Alligator mississippiensis: one gene and its partner. The protein of the gene in region 2 purifies or fractionates together with the protein of the main gene of each other region. This does not show direct contact. Links are inferred from orthologs where the notes say so. Each region holds a gene or a part of one and is shown on either strand. Other genes may lie near its edges.

The links.
Region 1: the proteins of PTPN18 (region 2) and PSTPIP2 purify together in Homo sapiens (affinity purification with mass spectrometry; 4 studies listed by BioGRID and IntAct, with this or other methods). This does not show direct contact. The link is inferred for Alligator mississippiensis from reciprocal best matches to the Homo sapiens genes PTPN18 and PSTPIP2.

The regions. Positions count from the first base shown.
Region 1 is NC_081826.1:291,733,820-291,745,637, reverse strand, and holds the start of PSTPIP2 (proline-serine-threonine phosphatase-interacting protein 2), read right to left. Parts: upstream 4,296-11,818; 5' UTR 4,279-4,295; coding exon 4,207-4,278; intron 1-4,206. UniProt on the Homo sapiens protein: Binds to F-actin. May be involved in regulation of the actin cytoskeleton.
Region 2 is NC_081831.1:27,549,707-27,561,204, reverse strand, and holds the start of PTPN18 (tyrosine-protein phosphatase non-receptor type 18), read right to left. Parts: upstream 5,543-11,498; 5' UTR 5,453-5,542; coding exon 5,369-5,452; intron 3,970-5,368; coding exon 3,861-3,969; intron 2,757-3,860; exon of another isoform or gene 2,736-2,756; coding exon 2,659-2,735; intron 2,565-2,658; coding exon 2,469-2,564; intron 2,351-2,468; coding exon 2,312-2,350; intron 2,201-2,311; coding exon 2,132-2,200; intron 1,632-2,131; coding exon 1,569-1,631; intron 1,074-1,568; coding exon 931-1,073; intron 654-930; coding exon 587-653; intron 437-586; coding exon 359-436; intron 202-358; coding exon 112-201; intron 1-111. Other genes in the region: MON1B (vacuolar fusion protein MON1 homolog B), read left to right, coding at 9,845-9,884, 10,768-11,034. UniProt on the Homo sapiens protein: Differentially dephosphorylate autophosphorylated tyrosine kinases which are known to be overexpressed in tumor tissues.

The DNA of each region.
Region 1 (11,818 bases), on a different chromosome or scaffold from region 2:
GCGAATGGAGCGGCACCCAATTTCAAAGACGAATTTATATATTACCAGGCTTGCCTCCATGCAGAGGGGCCAAGTAGTGGAGATGGGGGATTGGCGGAGCAGTGACAAGCCTGAGCCTGCTCTTATCTCCTTATCTTCTCACACCTCCCTTATCACTAGTATTCAGGCTGTAGCCAGGCTAGAGCAATTAGGACTCTAGTAGAGGTGATATCTTTTATTAGACCAACTAGATTTTTGCAAAAAGGGTCTTGAAATGCAAGCTTTCAGGCAAAAACACCGTTCTTCAGGCATCGGAGAAAAGATTATTTTGCAAAAATCTTATTGGTCTAATAAAAGATATCACCTCTACTGGAGTCCTGATTGCCTTTCCCTCTAGACCAATATGGCTACAGCCAGGATACCTGACACATGGAAGATATTGAATTTTTAGCCATTTTTTTAAATGAAATCTTCATATTTTCCCAAGCAGGAAGCAACCATGACCACCTGAAACCTGAGCTCCTGCTCCTGCCTTTGTTTCAAGGTAATTTGCATCATCACAGATCCTAGCAGGAGGTGAGAGGCTCCATGCCAGCAGCCATGAACAGGCTGCCCAAAGGAGTCTTCCATCTATTGACTCCTCTGTGAAACCCTATGAAATATGAACTCTCATTTCTACCCAGGAGAACTTTTACAATCTTTTCTCCAATGCCCGATGAAGGGTGTTTGTGCCTGGACGCTTGCAACTAAAGAATTGTTTTTGCAAAAATCTTGTTGGTCTAATAAAAGATAGGATCTCTACTATGAGTCCCAATGGCCTTTTCCTCTAGACCAATATGGCTACAACCTGGATACCTCCCTTATCACTAACACTTCAAAGGATCTGGCAGAATCCTGGTTGGGAATCACTGGGTTATGCTCCATGGGGGGTGAGTTAGCTCAGGTTCAAAGCAACTCCAACCTCATAGCTGCCATTTTTGTGTGGGTGACAAGTGGGTTTAAGCAAAATCTGGGTAAGGGCCTGGGTTAGCTTTGTGGTTAAGGCATTCCCTAAACCAGGGGTGGGCAATTATTTTGGGCAGAGGGCTGCTTACTGAGTTTTGGCAAGCCATTGAGGGCCGCATGACAGGCAGCCAGAGGCAGATAAATATTAATTTTCTACAATTTTTAGGGGTCCCACGGGCTGGATAGAATGGCCTGGAGGGCTGCATTTTGCCCACCCCTGCCCTAAACAGCTCCCTGGAGCTGCAGCTACCCATACGATTTTACTGCACACATCTGTGAGGTTAACCTAGGTCATGTCAAGCTGAAGGGCATAACCCCCTGCAAAGAATGATCTAGAGGTAAAAGCAGAACATACCAGGGGTCACATTAACCTGAGCAAAGATCCCAGGCCCCTACACTAGCTCCAATGGTCCCCAGACCCATCTCCAGCTTCTCGGCACCCTGAGACTGGAACAGCCTCTAAACTTGAGTAGAAAGCCTAGAAGATGCTGGACCAGGGAAAGCCCCTTCTCCATTGACCTGCAAGGCAGGAAGCAAGGGCACAACACTGGAGCGCTGAACCCCATAGAGACTGAAAACATTGAGATGGATGCAAAGTGAGATGGACATTAGGCCATTCAGCTCCAAAACACGACGAGCTCCCTAAGGAGCAGAGCTCATCCCCGTCTTGTGATTTCCGGGGCAGTCTCTCCGTGGGAGATGCAATTCCCATTCGAGCCTGGAGAGGCCAGTGGAAGCTGCGGCAGGAGCATGGTGACGATCCTGCGCATGGAGGTGGGCGAAGAACATGATGTGAAATCCCCAGGCTGCTCATTACAGGCTTTTAAATAGCAACACAGCAATTAGCCACGTCACTGGCTCGTTGCCATTGTGCACAGCAGATCTGCCTCTTCTTTCCTTGAATCCGGCCTGGCAAGTTGCTAAAAATAAAGCTGTCATTGATGAGGGAAGATAAAGCCGGCTTCTGTTCTATCTCCACACCGCCGGCGTAAGGATGTCACAGGACTCCCTGGGATTTGGCACCAGGCTGGGAAGCCAAGCTGTTGGATTGGCCATTGAGTCCATCGGCCTCTCATTCCTCTATACAGATAGAGAAACATTGGCCCAGAGCTCCACATGTGGCACTTTGTGTGCTTTGTCATGTTGCAAGGACAGGCACCGAACTGACCAATTCCCCCATTGGGTTCTCTGTCTTCCTTTGAAGGCTGGGACTTTGCTGGCAGTGTCTATAAAAAGGGGGAGCTTTCCATAGCTCAGGTGTGCCAATCCACAGCACGTAAGCCATAAGCGGCACAGGCGGCCTCTGTGTGGGGCACATAGGAGACTGGGGAAGGAGCAGGGAACAGAGCGGCAGATAGGGCAGGAAGCAGAAAGCAGAGCAGCAGATCATCAGGAGAAGGGGATGTAGCGCTCCAGGAAGGAATGGGACTAATTTGTGGCACACCTACCAAAAAAGGTTGGTCCCCACTGTCATAGCTAGATGTGTGCATAGGCGGATGTAGGACTGATTGCCTAAAAGGGGTGCAGGAGCAGTGACTGGCACTGCAGGGGTGCCTACCCCCCCTGCTTCCACCCGGGGGTGGCATGTAAATCAGATCAAATAAACAGATAAATCCCCTCACCAATCTGAAGGAATAATGATTCCTCACATACACTCACTTGGGCTTTGGGGATGGCGGGGCACATTGTTCAGGAAACTGTAGTCTCAAGTGTAGTCTATGCCTGTCCAAGAGTTGGCAGGTGCCCTGGGAAGATTACCAGTAATGAATCTAGCCTGGCTGCCCAGTTTGCTAGCAGTACCCAACATAGTGCCAAAGCAGGATTTTTTTCCTACACTTGCAAACCCACCCTGGGAGTCATGACCCGACAGAGCTCTCTCTGCCAGCCAGGAGGAGAGAAACCCCAACCAACTTGTCTTACTGCAACCCCAACTAGCATGTTGGGGACAGACCCAAAAATGCCTAATTGTGGATGTAAAGAGGTAGGGTCATTTCATGGTAGGGATGATCTTGTGCTAAAAGCACAGTCCCTTTGTCCATCACTGAGGGACTTGGATGAGACACTGAGGTCCATGTCTCCATAGATCTGGGCCTGCACTCTCCTCACCTGAGCTGTCAATACGTTGGTGATTATTTCTAGCAGGGGGATGTCCAGGAGCCCCTCTTACAGTGTTATACTGGCTAGAGCCAAAATAAACACACAGCAAGAAGACAGCCCTTGCCCACTAAAGGGGTACAGCCTCAGCACTGCCTTTCTCCCATTCTGCTCATCTTATCCATGTGCATTGTAAAACCCAAGAGGCAGTGTCTGAATATACAGCACCTAGCACAGTGGGGCCCTGATTTCAACCAGAGGTTCTAGGTGATGACCCTGTTAAAAATAATAATCACCAGCTTCCAGCTACAGTAACAGAGCCCACGCTGGCGACCTTCCCAACATTCAGGAAGGCTTTTCAAGAGGGTCTTCTCCAAGTGGCCTGGGGTGCCAGGCTGGTGGCAGGGCCCCTGGAGTGTTTGATGGTGACTTTTAGTATATAGAGAAGCAGAGTTGTGCATACATTAACTTGCTGTCCCGGGGGCAGGTTAAGCGGGTGTCCGTGTCACCATTTTAGAAAGGAGGTGGCAACGGCAGAGTTGCTAAGAAATCGAAGTAAGTCGCAGAAGGCGCATCTGAGCTGAGACTAGACTCCAGGGGCCGCTTGCAGTCACTCTCCTCCCCAATCAATTGGCAATGTTACTTTTTTGCTGTTCTTCCATCTGGCCCATTGGGAGAAAAGTCCCAGTCAAGCTCTTTAACCACTAGTCAGTCATCCCTCCCTAGCAAGCTCCAGTGATCAAGTCACCTCAGTTTACATTTTCCAGGTACCACGAGGAGAGGGGTTGAGAGCAGGCTGGTATTTCTTGCTCGCTAAAAGTGGTGGGATCCTGAAGTCTTCATGAGCCCGGCCGGGCATTATCACTGCATTAATCAAATGGGGATGCTAATGGATAGATGAAGTAAGAGACTTGGCCAGGGTCACCGAAAGAGTGAGTGGCAAAGCCAGGAGCAGACCCTGCATCTCCTAAAGCCAGGTCTGCGTCCTATTTTCACACATCATCTGCACACACACCTGGCACAGGTGCATTTGGAAAACAATCAGTCTGTCTGTACCCTCAGCGGTCATTGTTTTTCCTAGAGCCTTTCACTCCTCCCCTTCCCCCAAGCACTAGGCGAGACTCTTACCTGCATCTGTGGTGCCATCACCTTGCAGAGAGTTTTCTCCAATGGGACAAAGCTGCTCCAGAAGAAGTCCATGTCTCCTCTTCTCTCCGTGCCTGCCAGCTCTGAGACAGCTTCCCAGCTAGCAGATCCAGTGGGACAGGTAGAGACATGTGTACTGGCAGGACCTGCTCTGAGGCAAAGAAGTAGGAGGGGCACCGCAAAGAAAATACTGGCAGGAGGCATCATCTGGCAACATGCTCCACTGAGAAGTACCTCCCCAGAGAAACCCAGGGCACCCACATAGCAAACCATACACACGGGATACCACATACTGCTCTTCTCCACGTGCAACTTCTGGCTCTCGCAAGCTGGCAAGCTGCATAGCTTTGGGACAAAGATTGCATCTTTCTGTGCCTCAGTTTTTCCTACCAGAAAAATGGATGTAATGGCACTTTCTTGCTTCCCCATAGAACTGAGTTCATCTTTATAAAACACTCTGCAGAAGAAAACGTTGCTGATACCATCTTCAGAAAGGAGGAGTCATTGTGTCAGCCTCCAAATCAGGGACATTCACCTAGTTCCTGCCAATGCAGCAAAAGCTATCTGCCCGAGTCTTCTTTCCTCGTTGAAAAAACCTTTCCTCTCGAAGACAGACACTAGCAACGCTCTTGTCCTTTCTGCTCAGCAAACCCCAACCAGCCAACCAGAAAACTAAAACAAGGGTAAAAACCACATCACCCGGCAGAAGGTTTAATCCAGAAGGGAAGAAGTGCCAGAGATCCCAGGATGTCCACCAGCTACTTTGCTATGTCCAGCAGAAGGGCAAAATTCACTACAGAAACCAAGGGAAGCAATTACATTCTCCCAGTGAAGGAGAGAAAGGGGAAAAAAGAGCAGGTTGCTTGTTTCCTAACTCTCAGGTTTGCTTTGCACATGGATGTTGTACTACTATAACTATTTGAGTTAGGGGGTGCTAATTTTGACCAAAACATTTCCAGAGGTACAACCTTTTGTGTGAATGTATTATGCTGGTATTAAAGCATCTGGCACTTAAATACTCCATGTGGGAGTAATTTATATTATTATCACTGTATCTGCACTACCCAAAGGGGTGTATTCATCGTGCTGCTGATCTAGCGCATGGCTTACAACATTCCTATGAAGGAAAAGCTGGGAGAGGCTCAGTTAAAGGCATAGTAAAACAACCCCCAGTTTGCAAAGACAAGCCCAGGGGGCTGCTCCAAAGCCCACTGAAGTCAATGAGAAACTTTCCATTCGTATTTGGGGTCTCACTGGCTTTTATACACCATGTCAACCTCAAGAGTTACCTAATTTAGATACCTAAGCCCCTGTGTGGCCATATACTGAAAGGGCCTGAGTGTGTTTGGCACCCACAAATCCCACCGAGGTCATGGGAGTGGAGGGTCTCCAGTACCTCTGCAGATCAGGCCCTGTTTTTACCGAGACACCTGGATTTGCTTGGTGAGAGTATGGATAAGTGTCTGCAGTACGTATTTTTAGGGAAAGTGTCTCTACAACATGAAGAAGGTGAAGGTTGAAAGAGTCCAGTTAGCGGAGCCCAGCTGATAACCCACAGCCCCCACAAGACCCGTTTTTGTCGGGTCATTCTGAATGCCTACCCTTGTCCGTGCATCCATACACCTCCCTCTGGTACCCACCTCCTTGCAAGCTAATGTTCCCAGCACACGAGCAAGGGGATGAATCCTTGGGCATGTGCTACACAGGAGGTTAGAGCAAAGACTGTAGGAGGGTCCTCGATGGCTTTATCATCTAAGATTTCCTGTGCCTGTTCTTCCCATCAGCCCAGCCACATCTCCCAGTGCTTCTCCTGGTCCTCTGCACAAACTCTGCCTGCTCCAGCAGCGCTGATATGGTCAGATAGGGCATAGCAGCCACATCTCCGGGGGCTCTGGGTTGCAGGAGAGACTTGGGACTCTGTGCCACAGACCTCTCCTCAGCCAGAGGGTGGGAGACACTGCTTCCTCCATCCTCAGCCTCCCTGTTTTTCTTCTAAAAGTGTATTCAGTGGATGGGACACACAGAGCACTCTCCCCTAAGAGAGGATCCTGCATCCTGGGATACTGTGAAGGCTGCTACTGGGATGTGCAGGGAGGCACTTGGTCCTCCCTAGGCCTCACAGGCTCCCCTTTCCTGTGCTGAAGGCCCTGGCATGTCTGCGCTCCTGTAGGGAAACCTGGCAGCTATTCACAGAATATCTCATTTGTTTCCTGTCAATAAATAACCTGTGGTTTCCTTTTCTGTGACATTCTGGACTTTGAATTTATTTAAGCTGAGGTAGGACTGCCCTGTCTCTCCACTGTGGGTAAGGCATGTGCAATTTCAAGGGAGTGGATGCCACCGCTTGGACACTGGGTTGGTTACGGAGAACTAGCTCTGGCTGCATCCACGGCACAACTACACAACAGCGCAAGAAATGAGACTCATTTTTCCTCCCCATCACTCCTATGGCATGGTTAAAGGATATCAACTCTAAGCCAGAAAGAGGCAGGGATAGAGGGAAGACCCAAGTTGCACCAACCCTTGGAGCACAAGGCAATGTCCAGTGCTCCCAGATCTGTGCCAAGCCCTTATGCAATGCCCAAAGGCGGATGGATGGTCCTTCCTGACCTGCCATTTAAGAACTAGGTGCATTGCAGTCCTGACATAAAGGAGCACAAAGAAGGGCACCCACGGGCAGGGAGCACCCCAAGGGTGAACTCAGCACATCACCTCCTTTCACCTGCCCCTACCTGCCCCATGTGTTGGCCATGGGAGCAGCACTGGCATGGACTGCCCTGCCTGGGGGTATAGCAGTGGATGGGCACCCTCCGGAGATGTATGCTGGGAGTCATTGCAACTCCTCCAAGTATCTTACAAACAGAAAAGCCCGCTCTCAGGTATGGTTCAGACAGAGTCTTAGGTTGAGTCACCTCTCAGCCAACTCAAACCATAAATGCTGCTGCCTCAGAGAGATCTCTCTGCAACGCCAACCCTTGCTGCAGCACTTGGTGCGCATAACCTAGTGAGTGGCTCATCGTCGCCCACAGACCGCACTTCATTTTTCCATCTGAGATCAATATAACAGAAGTCTTTCCATTCTTGATCTGCATCGAAACACAAGAGAACTAGACAGATGGGATCTGCTTATGCAGAGGATGTTGTAAAACAAGGCCCTCCAGACAGCACTAGATTTCCCAGCCAAGTGTCCTTTGTTATTTGAGAAGTCATGAGCCGACTGTGTGGTGCGTGTGACTGTGCTGGTGGTCAGGATTGTATCATGCCATAATTTCATATATTTCCTCTTCATGTTTCTTGTGGGCCGTATTGGTTTTTGGGGGGGTTTTTTGGTTGGGTTTTTTTTTATTTGGTCCATCAGGTTCATGAAGTTTGGTCCGTCTGGTCCCTGTCTGGAAGTTTCAAAGGAAAAGTCCAGATTTTCCAGGACAATCCCAAATTGTAGGGTTGTGCCTCAGAGTTCCTAAGGAATGCCTCGAACAGAACATTTGTCCCAAATTAAAAAAAAAAGATGTCCCTAGATTGGCTGATCCAACCTCTTTCTAGAAAGGTCCCACACCATCCTGTGGAAAATCAGCAGCAGCCGGTTGCATATGGCACCGCACAACACAGCTAGACAGCTTCTAGTTTGGAAGGTAGCGATGGTCTACCTCTTGTGCCTGAAGCAAGACAGTCAGGCTCCCCCAGAGCCGTACCAGTGGTCCTGTGGTTACGCTGGGTGGAACTGAGAGTGAGATAAGCCGTTCCTGTTTCCGGAGGTCTGTGGAGGGTCCTGGCTTTTGTCCCCTCAAAGCTGGCCACTTTAAGCAAAAGTTGACTGTTCTTCTTTAGGCCCAGATCCAACCCCAATGAACAGACTCCCATGGAATGGAGGAACAAAGGACTGGAAGGGATCTCCTGCGCCATGGAGTTCGGTCCCTTGAGTTTCCAGCTATTCATTCGTTCCGAGAATCCCCAAAATTGCTGCTTCATACACCCACGCCCACGCGCAAGCAACAGTAGCCAAAAATACCCTATAACATGGCATGGGGAAATGAGATCCTTGCTAATACCCTGTCATTGCAATGACAGGGAAGTCATTAGTTGACTTCAGAATGACCTGATCCAGCTGTTAATGTGGAGCAGTAATGATCATGCTGTAAGTAGGAGGAAGGTAATTGTTACAGGCAAACAGTCAGGCTCTAGGGTTCTCTTCCTTTCTCATCTACCACAGACCGAGAGTCTGGCCTGAGCTAAGTTGCTTAACCTTGGCTAACTTGTCTTTCCAGTGAGGGTCACAGTGCGAGCTTTCGTCATGTCTAATGTGTGCTGAGGTGTATTCGTGGGAGATTGTCCTGGTGAAGAGTGCAGGACTGGGGACTTTGTCATCTGCTGAACAGCATCACTGGAGCCTTATGGGGTCATTGATCAGGTTCAGCAAGACAAATAGGGACTGCCTCCTTGGATGCATATACATGAGCCCAACTCAGACCTGAACTTCCCCTCTGACATAACTCTGTTCTTGGTAGCAGGGGGGCAGCTGTAATGTATAGGGGCTAGGGACAGACATTCAAAAAGCTGGAGCCTGAATTGACACAATCTTTGCAGGTTAGTCTAATCTGGCTTGGCTAAATCACTTGGTAACTGCTCAGGCATGCCAGACATGCAGGCACATGCCTGCAGTAGCTCAGGCTAGAAGCCCAGGGGTGCCAGAGCAGCCCTCCCTTCCCTTCCACAGGGCTGAGCTAAGGCGGGGAGGGCATGGCCAGGCCCCGGCAGGACGCTTTGATTAGGGAGGGGTTCCCCACCCCCCCGCTCCTGACCAGCCCAGCAGGGAACGGATAACAGTGCTTATCACCCCTCAGTGTTTGTCACCCGTCAGAAAACAAAGCCTCTCTCCATTAGTTCAAGCTCTCTTAAACGGTGTTTCCAAGGAAGGAACCAGTCTCCCACAGCACGGACCGTAGCCAGCATGTGGTCTGCTAGGGGAAGCCAGGAGGGATGCCTGCAGTCTGTGCAGGAGCTGCAGCCAGGGAGCAGAGGGAGAGGACAGCCCTGCTGTGGAGCAGAGAAAAGAGCCCTGCCAGCCCAGCGAGCATGCCTGGATGCTAGGGGACTCTGATTTCACTTCAACCAGCAAGGAGTCTGGGACAGACATTGCATAAACCCAGGGCTGTCCTGGGGGTGGGGGTGAATTGGGGCAACCGCCCCTGGGCCCTGCACTTTGGGCAGCCCCATGGAGCTGGGTGGAGCGGCCGTGATGACTCCGTGCTGCTGCCAGCTTCATGTCCAGCTACTCAGCACACCTCCCGCCCTCACCGCCGAATCTGCCACCGGCTTCTTTGCATCCGGAGATGAGGCCTCACACAGGCTGATTTGCCCTGGGCCCTGCACCCTGCTCAGATCATCGCTGCATAAATCGGTTTGACCCAAATGGGTTAAGTCTGATACTACATTCAACCAGGTTTATCTCAAACCAGTTTCAGTCATTTTCAAACTGGTTGATGTGCACTGAACATCTGTTCTGTTACAGGTTTAGTCCAGTTTCTGATCGCTTAAACCGGTTTATGTGTAATGTCTGTCCCTAGCCAGAGTGTCTGGGGGCAGCTTTCACCATTGCTACTGCTGCTGATTCGACACATCCTGCTTTCCACGGTGTAGAAGAGGCCCCTTGTATTTCAGGTTAGCTTTCCAACCTGAAAGCAACTCTTCTTGTTTCAGCTACATCCATGTGCCAGGAAAAGGCCTTTCAATGTTTACTGTTAAACAGAAACAGGATCCCTTATCTCTGCCGGGTGCAACCTGAGTGCATAGTTCTCCCTCCAGGCTGGGCTTTCCAAGGGGAAGGTCACTGAACTGGAAAGCGCTCTGTCTACTGCATTCGTGCTGATAGGGACTTGACCTTCGCTGCTTTCCCTGCTCCTGGCATCATACAGCCCCGTGCACCTATCTGTCTTCACCTACCTGGTACGCTCAGCCTCCTGCTGAAAACCAAGCCTCTCCAGATGCATCTTTCCCCCAACCCCTCATTTGCCCAGCTTACTAGTAATCCCACAGCCTCTCCAAATAAAAGTTGGGGTTTTTTATTTCTTTTTTTTAAGCCATTCTTTTTTTTTTTTTTTTGGTTTGAAAAACAGCTCATTCCAAATTGTAATATTTACAAGTAATAGCCCTAGGATCATAAACATTTTTTGACCCCTTCTGCCATTTTCTTCTGCAATTCTGTTTCATTTACTAAATCCCCAGTGGTGAGGAAAATGAAAAATGTTGACAAGGGAACCCATTGTAAACCCCGTGAGACAAAAATAACTTCCTTTTTTTTTCCTCCGTTTTTCAAGTACTCGTGTTCATCGGACACTTGACTTGTTTGCAATGCAAGCTTTCTGGGGCAGGGAATAAGACTTAGTAGCAGCAGTAAAACTGGATATTACAGTTACGGGGGAGCTTGAGGGTCCAGCAGACAAATTCTTCCTGCCCTGGAAATCCTAAGACACAAGGTGGCAAGCAGATAGATGGGGCAGTGTTGTCTATCCCTCTAAGTGAAAGGTCTAAGTAAAACAATAACCTCTGCTGTGACATTGCTACAGGCTGCTGTCCAGAAATCAATGCTATTGACTGTGAATATTAAAGTGATAACAAGCTTGGGAGTAGAGGAATGCAAATTGTGCAAACCCTATTAGATGGGGATATTTAATGGGAGACGCTTTACAAGTCTTTTAATTCCCTTCATACTTCCTGGGGTGATGCACTCTGAAACACAGAAGGGACCCCGAAAGCCAATCTGGGTGTGTGGTTTCTAGCTGTCCCGGCTACAAAAAAGTTTGCTAACCAACAAGAAAGTCTGCGGAGCCCAAACTCAGACTTGGAAATCGCTAAATCCAGTCTGGGCTGCTGCATCTTTTGCTAGCAAAAGACAAGCTGAGAACATGTGGATGCCTTCCCCACTGGGAGATTCAGGTTACTCTAACAGCTCTTGCCTATGAAGCAATCTTGGTCCAGTACTTTTCTAGTTTTGCAATTACGATTCTCCTGAAAAACTTTTGCTCTTTCACTTCCCTCATTAACCTTTTAAAGGCTTGCTTGTGTTTCTCTTTCCTCCTTTGTCTCCCCAGCTCCTTCCACACTGCTTTATCTCCCTCTCAGTGGGTACAACTAGGACTGTTAAGGATAGGGAACCATGGGGGAGCGAGCTGCGCATGGGTGGGAGAACAGAGGGTCGTGGCATGCAGTTCCTGCTCTGAGGCTGATTGTGTCTGTGGCTTTGGGCAAGTTACATAGCCTCCATCTGCCCGCATCTCCCAGGTTTAAAACAAGCTCTCACCTCGGGGGAGCACAAGTGTTAACACATGAAGAGAAGCATGGGGAGCTGGACTAGCAAAGTCCCGCCATGAGGGGAGGGAACCGGCCGATCGGCACCGGCTCTTCACTCTCCCAAGCATATCATAGGCATCAGGCATGCTCCTGGGTGAGGGTCGGGTTCACTGCACCCACCGGGTTGGGTTCGGCGAGGGACACAGTATTGAGGGGCCTGAATAAGACCCGCTCGTCACTCATTATGCACCCGAACGCCGCAGGGTGCAGATACACTTCTCTCTCTCTTGGGGCTCCGTCTTCAGAG
Region 2 (11,498 bases):
GTCCTAGATGCCTGGGTTCCTCCTGTGTGTGTCCCCCAGATGCCTGGGTTCCTTACATGTGTGTCTCCTAGGCCTGTCCCCTCTCCCCAGGCACCCGGGTCCCTGCCTCACCTCCTTGAGGTTCTCATAGCCAGTCGGGTCATCAGCCAGCGCTCCCTGGAACATCTCGGCCACGGTGCGGTGCAGGAATTCGTACTGCTCCTGCACGGGTGGACACGTGCTGCTAGGAGGTGAGGTTGGGGGGCAGGAGAGGGTGCGGGGGCTAAGAAGCAGGAAGGATTGGGGGGGTTGTGGGAGCTGGAGGGGGGCAGGCAGGGGAGGGGGTGGCTGTAGGGGCAGGGTGGAGGCAGGAGCTCACCAGGGTCTGCACGGCCGCCGGGCGCTGCTTCCGTATCTCCAGGACAAGGTCGAAGAGGCTGAAATTCGGGGGGATTCTCTGGGGAAAGGAGGCACGGGAGAGTGAAGGTAGAGGAAGGGGAACCCAGGCGCCTGGCATACACGTGCACACGTGTGCGGTGGTTCACCCGCACGCAGGCAGGCAGGCAGTCACGTGTACACGTGCTCACACCCGGACATGCGCACTCACCCGTTGCACCAGCAGGTCTCGAACCAGTTCCGCCGCGCAGATCACCCCGGTCCGGCCGCAGCCCGCGCTAAGGCACACGGAGACACCTGAGCCCCGCCCCTTCCACCAGGCCCCGCCCTTCCAGCAAACAACATCCACGTGCTCCGCCCCCACCAAGCCCCGCCCCGCCTGCACAGTCTAGCCCTGCCCTCCTGGTCACTCGAGGCCCCGCCCCCAAGGCACGCCCACTCCCACCTTGTACCAAGTCCCGCTCTACTAACTCCCACCCACAAAGCTTTGAAGCCACGCCCACTCACGCCCTCTTCCTAAAATAACCCCACCCCTTCCTGATGCCCCGCCCCTACCTGCAGTGGACGCAGAGCGGGGAGGGGTCCGCGCCCTGCTCACTGCGCATGCGCTCCACCAGCGCCAGTAGCGGCCCGCAGCTGTCGGGGATGCCGCGGTCAGGCCATGCCAGGTACTGCGCATGCGTCACCCTCCGCGACTCCTGCGGGACGGAAGATGAACGCTCAGCAGCCTCTGGCGGCAGCGGGCTGTGCTGTAGCTGGAGCACTCTCGGCACCACAGCGCCCCCAGTGGCGCCTACGGGTACTGTAGCCAGCGAGTAAAGCGTCCTCTGCCGGCGTCCCACCTGCCTTGTGTAGGGCCCTGCTGCCACCCCCGGGGACATTACCAGGCCAGTGACCCGCCCTGAACTCCCAAGTGCCCCCTCCCCTGCTGCCCTCTCCCCAGTACTGCCAACTCTTATATAAAGAAAGAGCTCGTTTTTCACATTCCTGAAGTGTAGACTTGAAGAACAATGCCAAAAATCATGAGAGTTGGTAATACTGTGCCTCCTTGCTGTGGGTATTACAGCCAGACTAGTGCCCACCACCGGGCCCCCCTCTACCCAGACCTGTAAGGCCCTTGCTGCCCCCCTGGGGTATTACAGCTATCACAATGCCCCCCAACAAGAATGCTGGCTGAAGGGAGGGGCAGGGACCTTCTGGAAGGTGATGCAGAGGAACCGAGTCATGATGTCTGGATTCAACTGCTGCTCCTGGGTCTGGAGGGGAGACAGGAGCAGGTATGAGATGGGGGAGGAAATGGGGAGATGCAGCCAGCTCTGGGGTGGAACGACTAGGGAATGGATGAGTATAATGCCATTCAGAGAAGGCTAAGATGTGTCCAACCCTAAGATGGGGTAGCTGGGGTATGGCTGAGTGTAACATTGCATTTGGAGGGCTGAAATATAGTCAGTTCTGGGGAGAGAGGCTGGAGAATGGCTGAGCATAATGCCACTCCAAGAGGGCTGAGATGCAGACAGCTCTGAGGGGGGTGGTTGGGATATATAACAGTACATAGGGAGGGCTAAGATGCAGTTGGCTCTGGGGTGCAACCACTGGGGAATGCCCGAGTATAACAAGGGCCTAATGGTGCTGAGATGTAGCCAGCCCTGGGGTGAAGCACTGGGGAGCAGCGGAGTATAAGGCCACTCCAAGAAGGCTGAGAGGTGGCTGGCTCAGGGGAAGGGCACTGTTTGGGCAGGAAATGGCTGGGGAGTACCTGGGTGATGCAGAAGGGCCCCAGCTGCAGTGGCTCATTCTCCAGAGGCCAGTAGCGCTCACACTTTTTCTGTGGGGGGGAACATCAGTCACCAGGAGAGGGGAGATGCCCCTCACAACCCCTTGGAGAAGAGGGAGAGCAGGGGGAGGAAGGGGATCTCCCCAGAGCCCCACAACTCACCCGGCCCATCTCCACCTCCCGGCAGGCCATGATGATCACCTGGAGAGGAAGGAACAGCAGTGGGTGGAACCCAGGCATCTAGGCTTCCAGCCTTCACTCTCTTACCCACTAGGCCCCACTTGCCTCCCAGAGAAACTAGGTGTCCCGGTCCCACTACCTTCACCCGGTACTGCCACACCATCCTCCAGAAGTCCAGCAGGGTGTGAGGTAGTGGCCCCTGTGTAGCAATGTAGCACCTCTGGGTCCCAGCCCCCTGTTGGGGATAGACGGGGGATAGAATGAGTGTCTCTTGTTCTTCAGCCCCTCCCTCTTGCCCCCATCTGCCTCCCTCCCATCCCCAGGGGTACCTTGATGAAGTTGGCGTTGATGTAGTCGCCCTGCCCCTCCTCTGTCACCAGCGTCAGCACCACCCGTGTCTGGTCATCTGGGAGTGAGGAACAGAGGGGTGAGTGTGCTCATTTCTGGGGCACTGTGAGGCACATGGGGAGGTCAAGAGGTGGCTGCTCTGGGGTGGCACAGCTGGGAACAGCCAAGTATAACAGCACAGCAAAGACTGAAATGCAGGCAGCTCTGGGGAGGGGCGGGTGAGGATGGACAAGTATAATAGTACAGGGGGAGGCAAAAATGCAGCTAGCTCTGGGTATGAGCAGATGGGAATGACTTAGTATAACAGCACTGGGAGGGCTGAGATACAGCTAGCTCTGGGATGGGAGTAGCTGGGAATGATCTCGCTGGGATGGGAGTAGCATGGGAAGATCTCGCTTGGTGTCAAGATGCAGTATAACAACACATGGGGAGGCTGAGAGGCAGCCAGCTCTGGGGTGGAACTGATGGGAACAGCCAAGTAAAATACAGCCCAGGGAAGATTAAGATGCGGCTGGCTCTGGGATGGGGTGGCCTGGGACAACTGAGTATAACACTCCATGTGCGCCCAGATCTGGGGTGGAGCAGCTGGGTAACAGCTGAGTACAACAGCACATGGAGAGGCCAAGCTGTGACCAGCTCTGGAGTGGGGCAGCTGAAACTGGCTGAGTATAACACAGCACTGGGAGGGCTGAGCTGCAGCTAGCTGTGGGGTGGGACAGGTGGAACTAGCTGAGTATAACAACACTGGGAGGGACAAAAGAAAGCCAGCTCTGGGGGTGGGATGGCTGGGGAACAGCTAAGTATAATGCTCCATGGGAAAAGCTTGCTTGGTGCCAAGATGCAGCCAGCCCTGGGGTGGAGTGACTGCAGACAGCCGAGTAAAACAACACATGGGGAAGCTGAGAGGCAGCCAGCTCTGTGATGGGACAAGTAGAACCGGCTGAGTAAAACATAGCACTAGGAGGCCCAAGATGTAGCCAGCTCTGGAGTGGAACAGATGGGAATGGCTGAGTACATATAGCGCAACATGGGGAAGACTGAAATGCTGTCAGCACTGAGGTGGAACAGCTGGCCTGGCTTTGTGAGGCAGCACCCTGGGGAACAGCCACTTATAACAGACAGCCCCTCCTCTGAGGGGGGGGTTGGACCCCAGCCCAGATGCTTGGGTCCCCCTACCACTCACAGGGCAGAATGTCCTTGTAGCGGTTCTTTTTGATGTTGTCCCGTGCAGCGCCGGCATCTGTGCTGTATCCTGCTTGCTGCCGGAAGGCCCAGGCCCGCTCCTTGATCTCCTGTGGGGGGAAGAAGGGGAGTAGTTAGCGGGCCCTAGAGTGGATGGGGTTAATGGGGCAGGGTAGCCAGGCTCAAGATGCAGCCAGCTCTGCAATGGAATGGCTGAGTATATAATGTGGGTAGAAGCACCCAGCTCTGAGTTGGAACAACTGAGCATAATCCATGGGGAGATACAGCCAGCTCTGGGGTGGGGAACAGCTGAGTAGAACATAAGGTGAGATGCACCCAGCTCTGGGGTGGAACAGCTGGGGAATGGTTGAATATAATGTCTGGGCAGATGCAACCAGCTCTATGATGGAAAAGTTGTGTATATCACCACACAGCACCCCCCTCCCCAGCCCCATTGCCCTCCCAGAGCAGGAAAAAAAATCCAGGCTCCCAGGCTTTGTCCATTCCCCCACCGCTGGGCTCTACCCCAGAGATGGCTGCATCCCTGACACAAAGGCAGCCATTGTTCTGCAGGTTACAGGGCAGGTAATGATAAGGGAGGTATCTGTATAAGGGGGTGTGGCTTGGAGGACTATTTTACATATAGGAGGAGCCAGATTATATATTTGCATAAAGGGTAGGAACCTCTGCTGCCTTCTGCCACCTATGGGCAGGGAACTCAGATGCTTGGGTTCTCTTGGTGGGAAGAAGGCTGGGGGATAGGGCGTAAGAATGGGGGGTGGAGGTTGTGTGCCCAGATGCCTGAGTCCCTGGCAGGCTGTGAATGCAGAACTGAGAGTGGGGGGCTGGGCTGTGGGTTCTGCGTTCTCTCTGCAATGGTTTCAGCTGGGGCCTCGGGCTTGGTGTTGAAGCCCTGGCTTGGTGGGGGAGACCCTGGGGCAGTGCTCGCCTGGAGATGCAGCCAGCTCTGGGGTGGCATGGCTGAGAAACAGCCAAGTGTAACAGGGCACTGGGAAGGCCAAGATGCATCCAGTGCTGGGGTGGAACAGCTGCATATAACACCCCAATGGGAAGGCTAATATGTGCTTTGTGTGGGGCAGTGGGGCCAACAGCTGAGTATAGTGCCCCCCTCACCATACACACAACCCAGCATCCTCTAGTATTCTGCCGGGCTGCACTTTAGGTGGGGCATGGCTCTCACCTCCCCAAACCCCACTCCCCTTAGAACAGGGAGAGAACCCAGATGTCCGGGCTCCCAGTCCCCCTGCTTGTACCCTCCAGCCCCCAATCATCTCCCAGGAAACCCAGGTGCCTGGTCTCCCAACCCCCTAGCTCTAACCTAGCAGAAGTCCCATCTAGAGACAGAACCCAGGTGAATGGGCTGTTAGTTCCCCCAGACTCTAATCCTTCCCCCCAACCCCACTCCCAGAGCCTCCTAGAGCAGCTTGGGAACCCAGGTGTCCCAGGTTCCCAGCCCCTCCTCTTCCCTCTCCACCCCTTCTGCCTCACCTGGAACTCCTTTTCGAGCAGCCCAGGATTAGGGCACACCCGGCACTGCAGGAAGGCCTGGAGGGGCCCCACAGGGGAGGCCATGGCTGGAGTTGGGGAGGCTCTGGGGCTGCCTGGACAGATGGACAGACCGGTAGACGCCCAGCACAGCGATGAGGAAGTCCTGCTCCCCGCCCTGCTGGGATGGGCCCGAGCATGGCCTGGCAGCCTGCCAGGAGGGCGGGAACCCTGGTGTCAGGGCGGGGGAGGAGGGGGGTGTCACTCACCTCCCCCCCATCAAGCTGCCCCACCTTAGAGCTAGGTGCATTTCAGCCTTCCCTGTGCCCTGTTATACTGCACCAGTCCCAGCCACCCCTCACCCAGAGCTGGCTAAGTTTCCCCTTATACGACTGTTCCCCAGCTGTTCCAACCTAGAGTTGGCTGCATCTTGGCCTTCACCATGTAGTGTTATATTTGGCTGTTGTCATCAGTTCCACCCCAGAGCTGGCTGCATCTCCCCATATGTCATACTCTGCAAGGCTAGCTGCCCCAACCCCAGAGCTGGCTGCATCTAGGCCTTCTCTGTGTGTGGTTATACTTGGCCGTTCCCCAGCTGTTCCACCCCAGACCTGGGATGATCTCAGCCTTCCCAATGCAGGGTTATATTCAGTCATTCTTATCTGGTCCACCCTAGAGCTGGCTGCCTCTAAGCCTCCATATGTGCTGTTATAATCAGTTGCTTTTCCTGCTTCTCTACCCCAAGCTGGCTGCATCTCCATATGCATTATACACAGCCATTCCTCAGCTATTCCACCCCAGAGCTGGCTGCATCTCGGCCTTCCCTGTTATACTTAGGTTTTTCCCACTGTTCCACCCCAGAGCTGGCTGCATCTCAGTAGCAGACCACCCCTCCCTGCATGCTGTTCATTGTGGCTGATCTCTTTCAGAGCTAGTTGCATCTTGGCTGTAGGTGGCCCTGCCCAGGCAATGTTATACTTGGCCGTTTCCCAGCCACCCCACCCCAGAGCAGGCTGCATCTTGGGCTTCCCTTTGCATTGTTATAGTCAGCTATTCCCAGTTGCTTCACTCCAGAACTAGCTGCATCTTGGCCTTCCCTGTGCCCTGTTATACTCAGCTGCTCCCCAGCCATGCCACCCCAGAGCTGACTGCATCTCCCTATATGTTATACTCAGCTGTTTCTCATCTGCTCCACCCCAGAGCTGTCCACATTGCAGCCTCCCCAGTGTCCTCTTGTTCTCAGCCATTACCCAGCTGTTCCACTCCAATGTTGGGTGCAACTCAGCCTTCCCTTTGCACTGTTATACACAGCCATTCCCAGCTACCTGGCCCCAGAGCTGGCTGCATCTAGACCACCTCTGTACCCTTTTATACTGAGCTGCTCCCCAGCTACTTGACCTCAAAGCTGGCTGCATCTAGGCCTTCCCTGTGCCCTGTTATACTTGGCTGTTCTTTTCTGCTCCACTCCAGAGCTAGTTGCATTGCTTCTTTCCCTTTGTACTGTTACACTCAGCCATTCCCACCTACCTCACCTCAGAGCTGGCTGAAACCCAGTCCCAGATGAGCCCTGACTACATGGCCTTATATGCAGCTGTGTGCAAGCCAACCCACCACAGAGCTGGGTGTATCTTGGTCCCAGAGCAGCTCTCCCTACTTGGTTCCCTTGCTGCCCCACCTCCTCTCCTTGCTTGAACAGTGCCTGCAGGAGGCCAAGTGCAGCCAGCTCTGGGGCAGCTGGGGAAACCTGAGGTGCTGAGGGAGGGGGTCAGGGTAGGATGGAAAAGGTGAACCTGCCCCTCCACCCCAGCCTGTGGGGAGGTCACGGGGCCCTGAGTCTACAGGAAGGAACTGGAAAGATGAATGAGAGATGAATGAGAGAGGGTGACACATGTGAAAGGGGAGTGGTGCCACTGGAAACTGGGATGCTTGGGTTCTCCAAGAAAGGAGGGGGCCTTCTTATGTGGGAGATGCAGCCACCCAGGGCCACCAAGGCCTGTTGTTGTCATGGCAACAGTGGGGACATGATCCTGCTAGTCAGTGGGGGGTCAGGCAATGATGTCACCGTGCGGCCACCTTACGGCCCCACCCTAAGGTGTCCCCATGCTGTCACGGTGTGCGGTGATGACCCCACAAGGCCACGTAGTTAAGAGGGCCTCGTGGGGGTTGGGGGCACAGCCCAGAGAGTGATGTCACGGGGCCACAGATGATGTCACAGGGTAGCGTATGGGGGGGTGGGGCGAGTGATGCCATCACGTGCCACAGCGACGTCACAAAGAAGGGCAGAGACAAGACTGCAGGGGGCTAGGAACCCAAGTGACAACGCAACACCGTGACTGGATGACGTCACCGCACCGCTCAGAGGTCAGCTGGCGCAGTCACTCCCCACCTCCTCCCCATTGGCTCCCTCCTCTAGGCCCAGACTTCCGATTGGCGGGAGCTGAGGGGACCGAGCCGTCCACCATTGGCCGCCGTCCGCCACGCCCTCCGCGCCTCCATTGGCCGTAACATTACCCAAGTCCCGCCCCCTTCTGGTTCGGCGCGCCTGATTGGCTCTGGGCGCCGCACCGCGCCCCCTTGGCTGGCTGTTGCTGCCTGTGAGTGGACCCGGAAGCGCTGCCTGGGAGGCTGGAGTTGGGGTAGGGTGAGGGACAGGGTCACGTGGCGAGGGGGGACCTGGGACTGACGTAAGGGGTGACCCACGTGGAAGGTACCCCGGGGCCATGTTGGGGTGGGAGGGCCGCTTCTGTGGGAGGGTCACGTGGGGGTTGGGGGGGGCGAGGGTGAGGCAAGGGGGGGACCTCCTGGGCAGGGAAACACTGCTAATTTAAGGAGAGCCCAGGTAGTGACTGATATGGGGGTATCCCAGGCCCTAGGTAGGAAGAGAGGTGTAAGGGCTGGTGGTTACCTCTGGGGTGATATAATGGGGGACCCACCCCAGGGAGGGAATCCCAGCGATGATGGTGTGGGAGGGGCTTACTGGGGGGGGAGGGTAACTGTGGTGCCCCCAGGATGGGAGAGGGACACCTGTAGATGTGGGGCATATCCATATGGTCCTATAGTGGAGGGGGCCTGCCCTCCCCTGATCTTTTGAGGGGCAGGGACTGGTGGTGCTAGGCTGTAAGGGCTGTCAGCTGGGCCCCACCCCAGAGCTGGCTGTATCTCAGTGCTGGGTGTTATACTTGGCCATTCCACCCCAGAGCTGGCTGCATGTCTGCCTCCCCCATATACTGTTACACACAACCGCCACAACCCCAGAGCAGGCTGCATCCTGGCATCGAAGGGTCCCTTCTTATGCAGTGTTAGACTTGGCTATTCCCAGGCTTCCCACCCCAGAGCTAGGCACATCTCAGTCTTCTCCATGCCATGTTATACTTGGTCATTCCCCAGCTCCTGAATCCCAGAGCCTGCCACATCTCAGCTTCCTCATGTGCTCATATACTCAGCAGTCTGCAGCCACCACAATCCCAGAGCTGCCTGCATTTTGGTGTTGAGGGGTCCCTTATGTGCAGTTCTACTTGGCCATTCTGTAACTGCCCCAACCCAGAGCTGGCCGCATCTCTGCGCTCCCTTTAGGGGCTCTAAAACAGAGGAAAGTCCTGGATTAGCCTTTGCACCAGGAGGGCTTCTCTGGTGTTAAGATGTGGCCATCTCTGGGATGGAGCAGCTGAGTATAATGCCTTGCCCAGCACAGAGATGCATTCAGCTCTTGGGTGGAACAGGTGAGTGTAATGCCACAGATGCAGGCTGTGCCAAGATGCAGCTAGCTCTGGGGTGGAACCGCTCGAGTATAACACTATACAGAGGCTGTACCCAGTGTAAGGTTGTAATCAGTTCTGAGGTGGAGCTGCTGGGGAATAGCTGACATGCTGTAGAGGGAGAGCTGAGTTGCAGCCAGCTCTGGGGTTCTGTATCTGGGGAAAGTCTGAGTATGGTACTGCATGGGAGGACTGAGATGTGGCCAGCTCTGGGGTAGAACAGGCTGAGTGTAACACTATATGCAGAGACTGCACCCAGTGTCAGGATGCAGTCAGCTCTGGAGTGGAGCATCTGGGGAACAGCTGAATATAACACTGCAGGGAAGGCTGAGTTGCAGCCAGCTCTGGGGCACAGTATCTGGCAAACATCTGAATACAACCCTGCTGGGGGAAGGCCAAGATGCAGTCAGCTCTGAGGTGGGAACAGCCACATATAATGCCCACCTATCCCTGATAAACTCCCCGGGCGGTGATGTGGTTTGGGACAGGAAGTGTGGCTCTGGGCCCTGGGACAGCATTTGCCCTGTGACTAGGACCACTGCCATGTGGGCGGGCTGGTCCAGCCAGCTTCTTTTTGCCCTATCCTGATGCCTGGTTTCTCTGAGAAGGGAGGGACAGCTAGGGGGTGAGAGTAGGGAGTGCTGGGAGCCAGGATGTATGGGTGCTCTGCAGAGCCTGGGACTAAGCACCACCCTCTGTCTCTCCCACAGGTGCTGCCTGGCATATGGGGATGGCAACCGGGGAGGAGATGGCCCCAACCCTAGGTGAGGCTCTGCTCCCATGGGAGGTGTGGGGAGGGAGCAGGACTCTGGGGTGGTGGTGGGGGCAGGAGCTTGCCCTGTGGGGGGGCAGGGGTGTCTGGGGGAGACACTCTGGTGGGGGGGGACTTTTACCAGCCTGGATACCTGGGGTCTCTTTCTTCTCTGGGGGAGAGGGGACTGGGAGCCTGGATGCCTGGGTTATTTTTCAGTTTGGGTTTGGTGGGTCCCAGCAAGCATGGGGGTTGGGAGGCCAGACACCTGGGTACTGTTTACGCTTGGGGAAAGGAGCAGGGCCTGGTGGGCTGGCTTCCTGGACACCTGGGTTCCCTCCTTCCTCTGAGATGGAAATGGGGCCCAACTACCTAGAGCTGGGATTGGGAACCCCAATGCCCGAGTTCTCTCCCTGTTCTGTGATAGGAATGAGGCCTGGGTTGCCTGTGCGGCCTGGGAGCCTGGACTTCTATGTTCTCTTTCCTGTTCCTAGTGGGAAATGAGGCCTGGTTAGTTGGAGCAGGGGGTACTGGGAGTCCGGATACCTGGGTTCTCTCTCCGCTCTGGGGAGTGGAGCCTGGTGGGATGGCTATCCAGGTTCTGTCCTGGATCTGTGATGAGAATGGGGCCTGGCTACTTACAGTGGCGGGGAAGGATGCTGGGAGCCTGGATTCTTTAGGAGGGAAGTGGGGCCTCAGGGGGACTGGGAGCCGGGATGCCCGAGTTCTCTCTCGGCTCAGGTCTGGTTACTTAGGGCAGGTGGAGGTTGGAAGCCCAGGCACCTAGCTTCTTCCCCTGCCCTGAGATGGCAGTGGGGCCTGGTTTTTTAGAGCAGTGTGTAGGAAGCCTGGATGCCTGGGTCCCCCCTCACCTGTCTCTCTCTCCCCCCACACAGGTCCTGAGGAACTAAGTGCTGGCCTGGAGGAAGCAGCTCCTGGCTCCATTCCCAGCCCCAGCCCTGGAGCCTCTCGTGGGGTGGAGGAGGCTGGGGGCCCGGGCTGGCGGGCACGGCGCAAGCACGTGTTTGTGTTGAGTGAGGCAGGGAAGCCCATCTACTCACGCTATGGCAGCGAGGAGGCACTCTCGGCCACCATGGGTGTCATGACGGCCCTCGTCTCCTTCGTGGAGAGTGGCCATGATGCTATCCGTTCCATCTGCTCTGGTATTGGCTGGGGGGCAGGGTAGAGGACACTGGACTGGAGTCTGGCCTGGGGGCACTAGGGTGGTGTGTGGTATATGGACTGGGGGACAGGGGGCACTGGGGGTGTGGGGTATGGGATGGGGAGCAGGGTAGGAGGCACTGGGCTGGGGGCGCTGAGGTGGGGGTAGGGTATGGGCTGGGGGGCCCTGGGAAGGGTGGGGAACTGTGGTGACAGGTGGGGAGGCTGGAGGGGCACTGATGGAGGGAGTAGGAGAGGGAAGCAGGGTGGAGCCAGCAGGACAGGGGACAGGGGACAAGAAGAGGCCCCAATCTTGTCCCTATGACCCTGGCTGGCTGGCTAGGGTGGAGGAGGAAACTGAGGGCCCCAATCCTGTCCCTGGAACCTGAGAGACCCTGAGCTCATCCCCAGAACCCTGGGTGTCTAGCTTGGGGGAACCAATCCTGTCCTCTAGACCCTGGCTGGC